2 linked regions of the Saccharomyces cerevisiae S288C genome follow. Changing the gene in region 1 together with any one later gene gives a genetic interaction. Each region holds a gene or a part of one and is shown on either strand. Other genes may lie near its edges. The genes, in order: PMU1 and ADE16.

Region 1 (3,436 bases):
TAAACCGCCTTGACCAATGACTAACTTTCTGACACCGTTTGCAGCACCTACTGCGGCAATCTTGTTCATGATAACATCGTTGTAGAAACGACCATCTCCTCCAACAACTAAAGTGGTTCCCTCTGAGCCATTAGGGATAGATTGCATTGTTGCTTGAATGAAGTTCTCAGTATAATGAGGCTCATCCATGAAAACCTTGGTCTTCTTACGTAAACCTGAAGTACCCGGTTTTTGGTCCTTATAAGCAACTGTTGGTACAGAATCTATTAGAAGTGACATTTACTATTCAATTGAGTTGTTAGTTACCTATTTTTGCACTATTGAACCGAAAGTGGATGAGAGAGAGAATGTTTATAGGTAGACCAAAATCGATGTGATGCGCCCTTCTCCTTTTCTTGCATCCGTAATATAAACGCGAAATACCAGGTAAAAAAAGACAAAATCTCAAATAGCGAGAATGCCGATTTTAGAACATCATTTTTCTATTTACAAGTATAGCATTGTCGGTACTGAATGCCCTTATTCCTCATGACAGACTGAAACCACCGTGATACAATTGTGGTAACGTCATACATTTGACATTTATCAGGGGAAGACAGAGATCCTCTACTAGGTCATATGCGGGATAAAAAAATCTCCACGTCAATAGTGTAAAATTGTAAATAAAACTGTGGGCATTGCTGTTCTCGAGAAAAGCTGCCACTTGTGTTTGAACGGTGTCGGCTTTAGCATCCTGTTTTAAAAAGAAAGCCCTGTAGGGGGCTCGAACCCCTAACCTTATGATTAAGAGTCATACGCGCTACCGATTGCGCCAACAAGGCTTTTAAACGTGATTGTGTTGTATCTCAAAATGAGATATGTCAGTATGACAATACGTCACCCTGAACGTTCATAAAACACATATGAAACAACCTTATAACAAAACGAACAACATGAGACAAAACCCGACCTTCCCTAGCTGAACTACCCAAAGTATAAATGCCTGAACAATTAGTTTAGATCCGAGATTCCGCGCTTCCACCACTTAGTATGATTCATATTTTATATAATATATAAGATAAGTAACATTCCGTGAATTAATCTGATAAACTGTTTTGACAACTGGTTACTTCCCTAAGACTGTTTATATTAGGATTGTCAAGACACTCCGGTATTACTCGAGCCCGTAATACAACAGATTGATACGACCGTTAGAAATCGATAATAGATTCTCTATAATAGGCTCATTATAATAACTACTATCCCTAAATTCACCTATTTCTCCATATCATGTACGGCAAGTTTTTTTGAGAAGAAATTTATTGTATTTTATACTTCACAATAATGCTTTTAGTAAGATGGGATCAGAACAATCATTACAAAATTTCATTTATAGTTCAGCGATAATGTTCTGAAAAAGTTTCAATTCAATTCACGTGAGGACAATAACACTATGTACAGTAGATAACTTAAAAGTTCTTCTGCCGCGTTTTGGATAATTTCACGAGGGGAAATGGACAATTTTACTTAATACTGCTACCATTTCTTCCCTCGTTTATATCCTTTCATTCATTGCTGGGTTTGCATGGTCAGTCCTTACTAATTAGCTTCCTATAAACTCGATGACAGTTAGGACGCTCACGGACAATTATATTCTGAAAACACAAGTAATACTATTAATCTTTTGTACCAACAATTGATTAATACCAAACTCTTATTCCAAACAAAAGAGGTTCGTACTTAGCCGGTCAAACCTGGGCTGCGAAAAAGTCCGTGAAAATTAAGAAGAGGCTCAGTGTTTTCAGATGAAAGCGATTAAAATTTACAGATATTATCTTCTATTGCGTGGTTGTGCAACGTTTGAATAAATATTTGTAATCCTAATTTCTTGCAGATTCGGATATGACCCAGCAGGCATGTGCGAGTCAAGTTAATTTTTCGGGTGCTAGCTAGTACTGGAAAAAGTAAAAAGTGTCATTTGCAAAAAAAAACCCTCGAGAGATTTGTATGTTATTTAACGATTTCTTTCCAAGACTCTGCTGCGTGAAATCACCAACAGTTATTCAACAATGTCACTCAGAGCAGTCCCAGGATATTTTGCTGCATATCCAAGTGAGGGTTTTCAAGGATTAGACTCCACGAAATATGATCACTTAGAATTGATTAACCATAAGAATTGGAAGGAACTGTATCATGCTATCCCTAGAAATACCAAAAATCGCCACTATAAGCTGTTGATTTTAGCTAGGCATGGTCAAGGTTACCACAATGCTGCCATACTGAGGTACGGTATGGAGAAATGGGACGCCTATTGGTCGTTGCTTTCGGGCGATGAACATGGAGAGTGGCTTGACTCTAAACTGACACCTCTGGGTAAAGATCAAGTTAGAAGAACAGGATCGAATGTCTTGCTACCAATGGCAAAGCAATTAGGTATGCTACCTCATGTGTTTTTCAGTTCTCCAATGAGAAGATGTCTCGAAACATTCATTGAGTCGTGGACACCAGTGTTAGCGGAGACGCAAGAATTACCGGCCGGAACTAAAATTTCTACACGCATTATAGAAGGTCTAAGGGAGACGTTGGGCTCTCACACTTGTGACAAAAGAGTGGCTCACTCAATGGCAGTTGACGAATACCAGGATTTCAGCACGGAATCGGGCCACACTGTACATTGGCAATATGTACCAGATTACCCAGAAGATGATGAATTGTGGCTTCCTGATCATAGAGAAACGTGTGCTGAAATGGACAAACGTACACTGAATGGATTATTTGAACTATTTAATCAATTGTCAAGCGAAGAAAAATTCATCTCGCTTACTTGTCACTCAGGTGTCATTCAAAGTGTCTTGAGAAACTTACAGCATCCTCCAATTTATAACCTGGACACAGGTAAAGTCGTCGCTGTCGTCGTGGAAGTACCAGTCAACACGGCCGATCGCGGCAGGCTCTGAATTTTCCCACAGCGCCCATTCGGGACTTTCAAATATGTGGGTAATTTAAATAATTTTTTATAGATATAATAGAGTGGATGGAATAAAACCCTTTCTTTTCAAATAATGTGTTAAGCACTTTGAGAAATGGTTGAACCTTTCACTTTGATCATCGCTTTCTCAAGCTAGGTGAGAACATACATTTGAGTATAAAATAAAAAATGCATATGTGAAATTATATGAATGCAAAGGGTTCTTAGTTCCTTTTTTATTCTTGTATAGTTTTCACCGCTATGTCCACTCCCTCTTTTATACTATACTAATCGATGCCACAGAAAATATAGGCTTGGAAGTAATAAGCCCCCTTCATATACTTTCGTACAAGAAAATGTAACCGGTACATTAAAACAAACTTCAGTAGCCTCCCCTAATCACTCGGCAGGCAGACCTACGATCTTGAACAACTATTATATAGTAGCAAGATGCTAGCTCCATCGCTTTTCTAACTAAAGGTAAACTGA
Region 2 (4,806 bases), on another chromosome or scaffold:
ATGTTCCTCAAAACTTAATCTCTGTTGAGCCACATTTCCTGAATATCTTTGAGTTGAGTACTCTTTATTTTGCCAACAATCATGGATAACCGGATGCTGCGGCAAGTCCATGTCCCGAAAAGTATTAGCTACCAACGTCATCTCGACATGGGGAGCGGGCTTTGTGATCATTTGTTTTGGAATCGAATAATGGATAATCCTTTTTGGAATGATCGGTGTCTCTTGAACATACTCCATAATTTGTTCACCTTCCATCTCATATATTACATATAAGGCCACACACAGACACAAGCTGAAACGAAAATATCTATAAATATACACTTCTTAATTTGTATTCAAGATATTCTTATCAAAGCACTTATTTTTTCATTATATTTCTATATTGATTTAAGGACGGTACGCTATTTTCTTTGTACCTTTTACTATGCATAAAAAAAGGGGAAGTGTTTAACAATCGACACTTACTTAATATGTTTTGCCGCCCTTCATAAGAGGGTGTTTCTAAAATTTATTGGGCAAGAATGAGATGGACTCGCACCCTACATGACGTTTAAATATTTAGTGTTAAGGTTCAGAACATGCACCAGGTGCGACATGTGTTGCGATTATCATGACAATGTCTCTATCCGAGATGCATTTGTAGTATCAATTGATGCGTATTATGACATGATTTACATAGCATACATCGTCAAACATGATATTATATTCTTTTTTTGATAAATGTACGGATTTAAAGCTGTCGAATATATTTTCTGAAATTTCTTGGAGCTGACGCAAAATTTTCAAAGGTGCTAAAATTTTTCAAGATTTCTCACTTTTGCTTGGTAACAAAGAATGATGGCATTGCATTTTTACCACCGGTACATTTAACTGCTATTTCTCACGTTTCTTTCCCTATCCTTAAGTAATTCTTTTACAATCTAAGAAAACCACGATCAAACAAATAAATCAGCAATGGGTGCCTACAAATATTTGGAAGAATTGCAAAGAAAGAAGCAATCTGATGTTTTGAGATTCTTGCAAAGAGTCAGAGTCTGGGAATACAGACAAAAGAATGTCATTCACAGAGCCGCTAGACCAACTAGACCAGACAAGGCTAGAAGATTGGGTTACAAAGCTAAGCAAGGTTTCGTTATCTACCGTGTCAGAGTTAGACGTGGTAACAGAAAGAGACCTGTTCCAAAGGGTGCTACTTACGGTAAGCCAACTAACCAAGGTGTCAATGAATTGAAATACCAAAGATCCTTGAGAGCTACCGCTGAAGAAAGAGTTGGTCGTCGTGCCGCTAACTTGAGAGTCTTGAACTCCTACTGGGTTAACCAAGATTCTACTTACAAGTACTTCGAAGTTATCTTGGTCGACCCTCAACACAAGGCTATCAGAAGAGATGCTCGTTACAACTGGATCTGTGACCCAGTTCACAAGCACCGTGAAGCTAGAGGTTTGACTGCCACTGGTAAGAAATCCAGAGGTATCAACAAGGGTCACAAATTCAACAACACCAAGGCTGGTAGAAGAAAGACCTGGAAGAGACAAAACACTTTGTCCTTGTGGAGATACAGAAAATAAGCTGGTTGATGGAAAATATAATTTTATTGGGCAAACTTTTGTTTATCTGATGTGTTTTATACTATTATCTTTTTAATTAATGATTCTATATACAAACCTGTATATTTTTTCTTTAACCAATTTTTTTTTTTATAGACCTAGAGCTGTACTTTTATTCTGCTATCAAGCAAACCCCTACCCCCTCTTCTCAATCCTCCCCTCAGGCAGAACTTATCTACCTGTATCAAGGAGCGGACGAGGGAGTCCTAATTGTTCTACGTATACCAATGCTAGCAGCTTACATAGGTGGTGGCACTACCATAATACTTATATATAATATCTTTACGCTCAAGTAAATTTCTCCGCCGCATAAATTAACACCATGTTCTTTTTAGTCGCACCTTATTTTCTTGTATTTTTTTTCTTTCCTTTTCTTCCCGTTTTTCCTTATTAGAGCCATTAGATAAAACTCAAGAAAAGCAAAAGAGAGGGCTATTTCCACTTTAAGAATAAGCCTTAATAATTGGCAAATAGATCGTCCTTTTTTCCAGTTTTCAGCATTTGTGTTTTTTTCTTGCTCTTTTTAGCGATTAGATAACATTCAAGATCTAATCAATACCCCATTCCAAACAAAGAATCCAAATATACCATAAATAGGGACAAAAAACAAAAGAGCTAAAAATGGGCAAATATACCAAGACTGCGATCTTGTCAGTTTATGATAAGACAGGTTTATTAGACTTAGCCAAGGGATTGGTAGAGAACAATGTTCGTATCCTAGCATCCGGTGGTACGGCCAACATGGTCAGAGAAGCTGGTTTTCCGGTCGACGATGTTTCTTCAATTACGCATGCACCAGAAATGCTAGGGGGTAGAGTCAAGACTCTTCACCCTGCTGTGCATGCAGGTATTCTTGCCAGAAATTTAGAGGGCGATGAAAAAGATTTAAAAGAGCAGCACATTGATAAGGTGGATTTTGTTGTATGTAATCTATATCCGTTCAAAGAAACTGTGGCTAAAATTGGTGTTACAGTTCAAGAAGCTGTAGAGGAGATCGACATTGGCGGTGTGACTTTGTTGAGAGCAGCCGCAAAGAACCATTCCAGAGTGACTATTCTTTCAGACCCTAATGACTATTCTATCTTTCTGCAAGACCTGTCTAAGGACGGTGAAATTTCTCAGGATTTAAGAAATAGATTTGCACTTAAGGCGTTTGAACATACGGCCGATTATGATGCGGCCATTTCTGACTTTTTCAGGAAACAGTACTCCGAAGGGAAAGCCCAATTACCGCTAAGATATGGTTGTAATCCCCACCAAAGACCTGCACAAGCTTATATCACTCAGCAGGAGGAGTTGCCCTTCAAAGTGCTCTGCGGTACACCAGGATATATAAATCTTTTGGATGCCTTGAACTCATGGCCCTTAGTGAAAGAGTTATCTGCATCATTGAACTTGCCTGCGGCAGCATCGTTCAAGCACGTTTCTCCAGCAGGTGCTGCTGTGGGACTTCCATTATCCGATGTGGAAAGACAAGTTTATTTTGTGAATGATATGGAGGATTTATCACCATTGGCATGCGCATACGCTAGGGCCCGTGGTGCAGATAGGATGTCATCCTTTGGTGATTTCATTGCATTGTCCAATATTGTAGATGTCGCCACTGCAAAAATCATCTCTAAAGAAGTTTCCGATGGTGTTATTGCTCCAGGGTATGAACCAGAGGCATTGAATATACTATCTAAGAAGAAAAACGGAAAATACTGTATTTTACAAATCGATCCAAACTATGTTCCTGGCCAAATGGAATCCCGAGAGGTTTTTGGCGTAACGTTACAACAAAAGAGAAACGATGCGATCATAAACCAATCCACTTTCAAAGAAATTGTCTCCAAAAACAAAGCACTTACCGAGCAAGCCGTTATCGATCTAACTGTTGCTACGCTGGTTTTAAAATACACACAATCAAATTCTGTTTGCTACGCAAAGAATGGTATGGTTGTGGGGCTTGGGGCCGGCCAACAATCGCGTATACACTGTACCAGATTAGCTGGTGACAAGACGGACAACTGGTGGTTGAGACAACATCCAAAGGTTTTGAACATGAAGTGGGCCAAGGGAATTAAGAGAGCGGACAAGTCGAATGCGATTGATCTTTTTGTTACAGGGCAAAGAATAGAAGGCCCGGAAAAGGTGGATTACGAAAGCAAATTTGAAGAAGTCCCTGAACCTTTCACCAAAGAAGAAAGACTAGAATGGTTAAGCAAATTAAACAATGTATCGTTATCATCCGATGCGTTCTTTCCCTTCCCAGACAACGTTTATAGAGCTGTGCAGTCTGGTGTAAAGTTCATCACGGCTCCTTCGGGGTCTGTCATGGACAAAGTTGTCTTCCAAGCGGCGGATTCATTTGATATCGTCTACGTGGAGAACCCAATTCGTTTATTCCACCACTAAGTAGGGTACATTTTATGAGAAGAACAGAAACAACATATATAGCTGAATACAAGTGTATATACGTAAACGTATACGATTTACTTAATTTTCTACGTCAAAGGCCTTCCTCTTCTGCGAGAGGACAAGATGTGAATATGTGAATTATAGAGATGTCTGCAGTATGGTTTTACCCAAATGATCATGGACCAACTAGGGTCATTTCATAGTGTTTAGGAATATACTGCGGTAGGACGAACAACAAAGATGACCGAACTCAGATTTTCCCACTCTGCACCCACATCCCGCAATCTCTTCGTAATAAGGAGAAAGCTGGCCATAGGACAAAGTATAGGAAAAGAGCTCAAGATCATGCGTCCTACTTAATCTAAGTTAAACTCGTCAACGGGGCCACTTCTGTCTCATCCATATATATCATGGCAACAGCCCCCGAACCCCATATACACATCGTTAAGGCAACAGCACCCGATGCAACGACTAAGAGAAACTGCTCGTAGTCTGACGACTCAAAACTCTGATCACGAAGATCAGAGGAGAAGTCAGGAGCTGCATCTCTTATGTGATGCCGTTGTCCGAAGCGCCATCTAGATGAATACGTGAGGCCCATTGGAGGCTCCTTGAGACTCTGCCTCTCGAGCGTTGAAAAACGCTAGCCCAGTGTTTTAGAGAAGCTAAGCAGCAATAGCAAGAAATGCACACACACGTATGCGAGTGACTTCCCTTCCCTGTATAGTACCGAACTAGCACGAGACTATGGTTACTTTTTTTTTTACAAATAAGCAAAGAGAAACTTGAATGGGAAAA

The links.
Region 2: of PMU1 (region 1) and ADE16, extra expression of one rescues a mutant of the other (dosage rescue), as found in Saccharomyces cerevisiae (one study listed by BioGRID).

The regions. Positions count from the first base shown.
Region 1 is NC_001143.9:200,384-203,819, reverse strand, and holds PMU1 (putative phosphomutase), read left to right. Parts: upstream 1-2,048; coding exon 2,049-2,936; downstream 2,937-3,436. Other genes in the region: phosphoglucomutase PGM1, read right to left, coding at 1-279. UniProt on the Saccharomyces cerevisiae protein: Probable phosphomutase that may have a function related to the manipulation of phosphate groups on carbohydrates. Reduces trehalose-6-phosphate levels when overexpressed in TPS2-deleted cells.
Region 2 is NC_001144.5:198,739-203,544, reverse strand, and holds ADE16 (bifunctional phosphoribosylaminoimidazolecarboxamide formyltransferase/IMP cyclohydrolase ADE16), read left to right. Parts: upstream 1-2,229; coding exon 2,230-4,005; downstream 4,006-4,806. Other genes in the region: YLR030W (uncharacterized protein), read right to left, coding at 1-255; 60S ribosomal protein eL15 RPL15A, read left to right, coding at 955-1,569.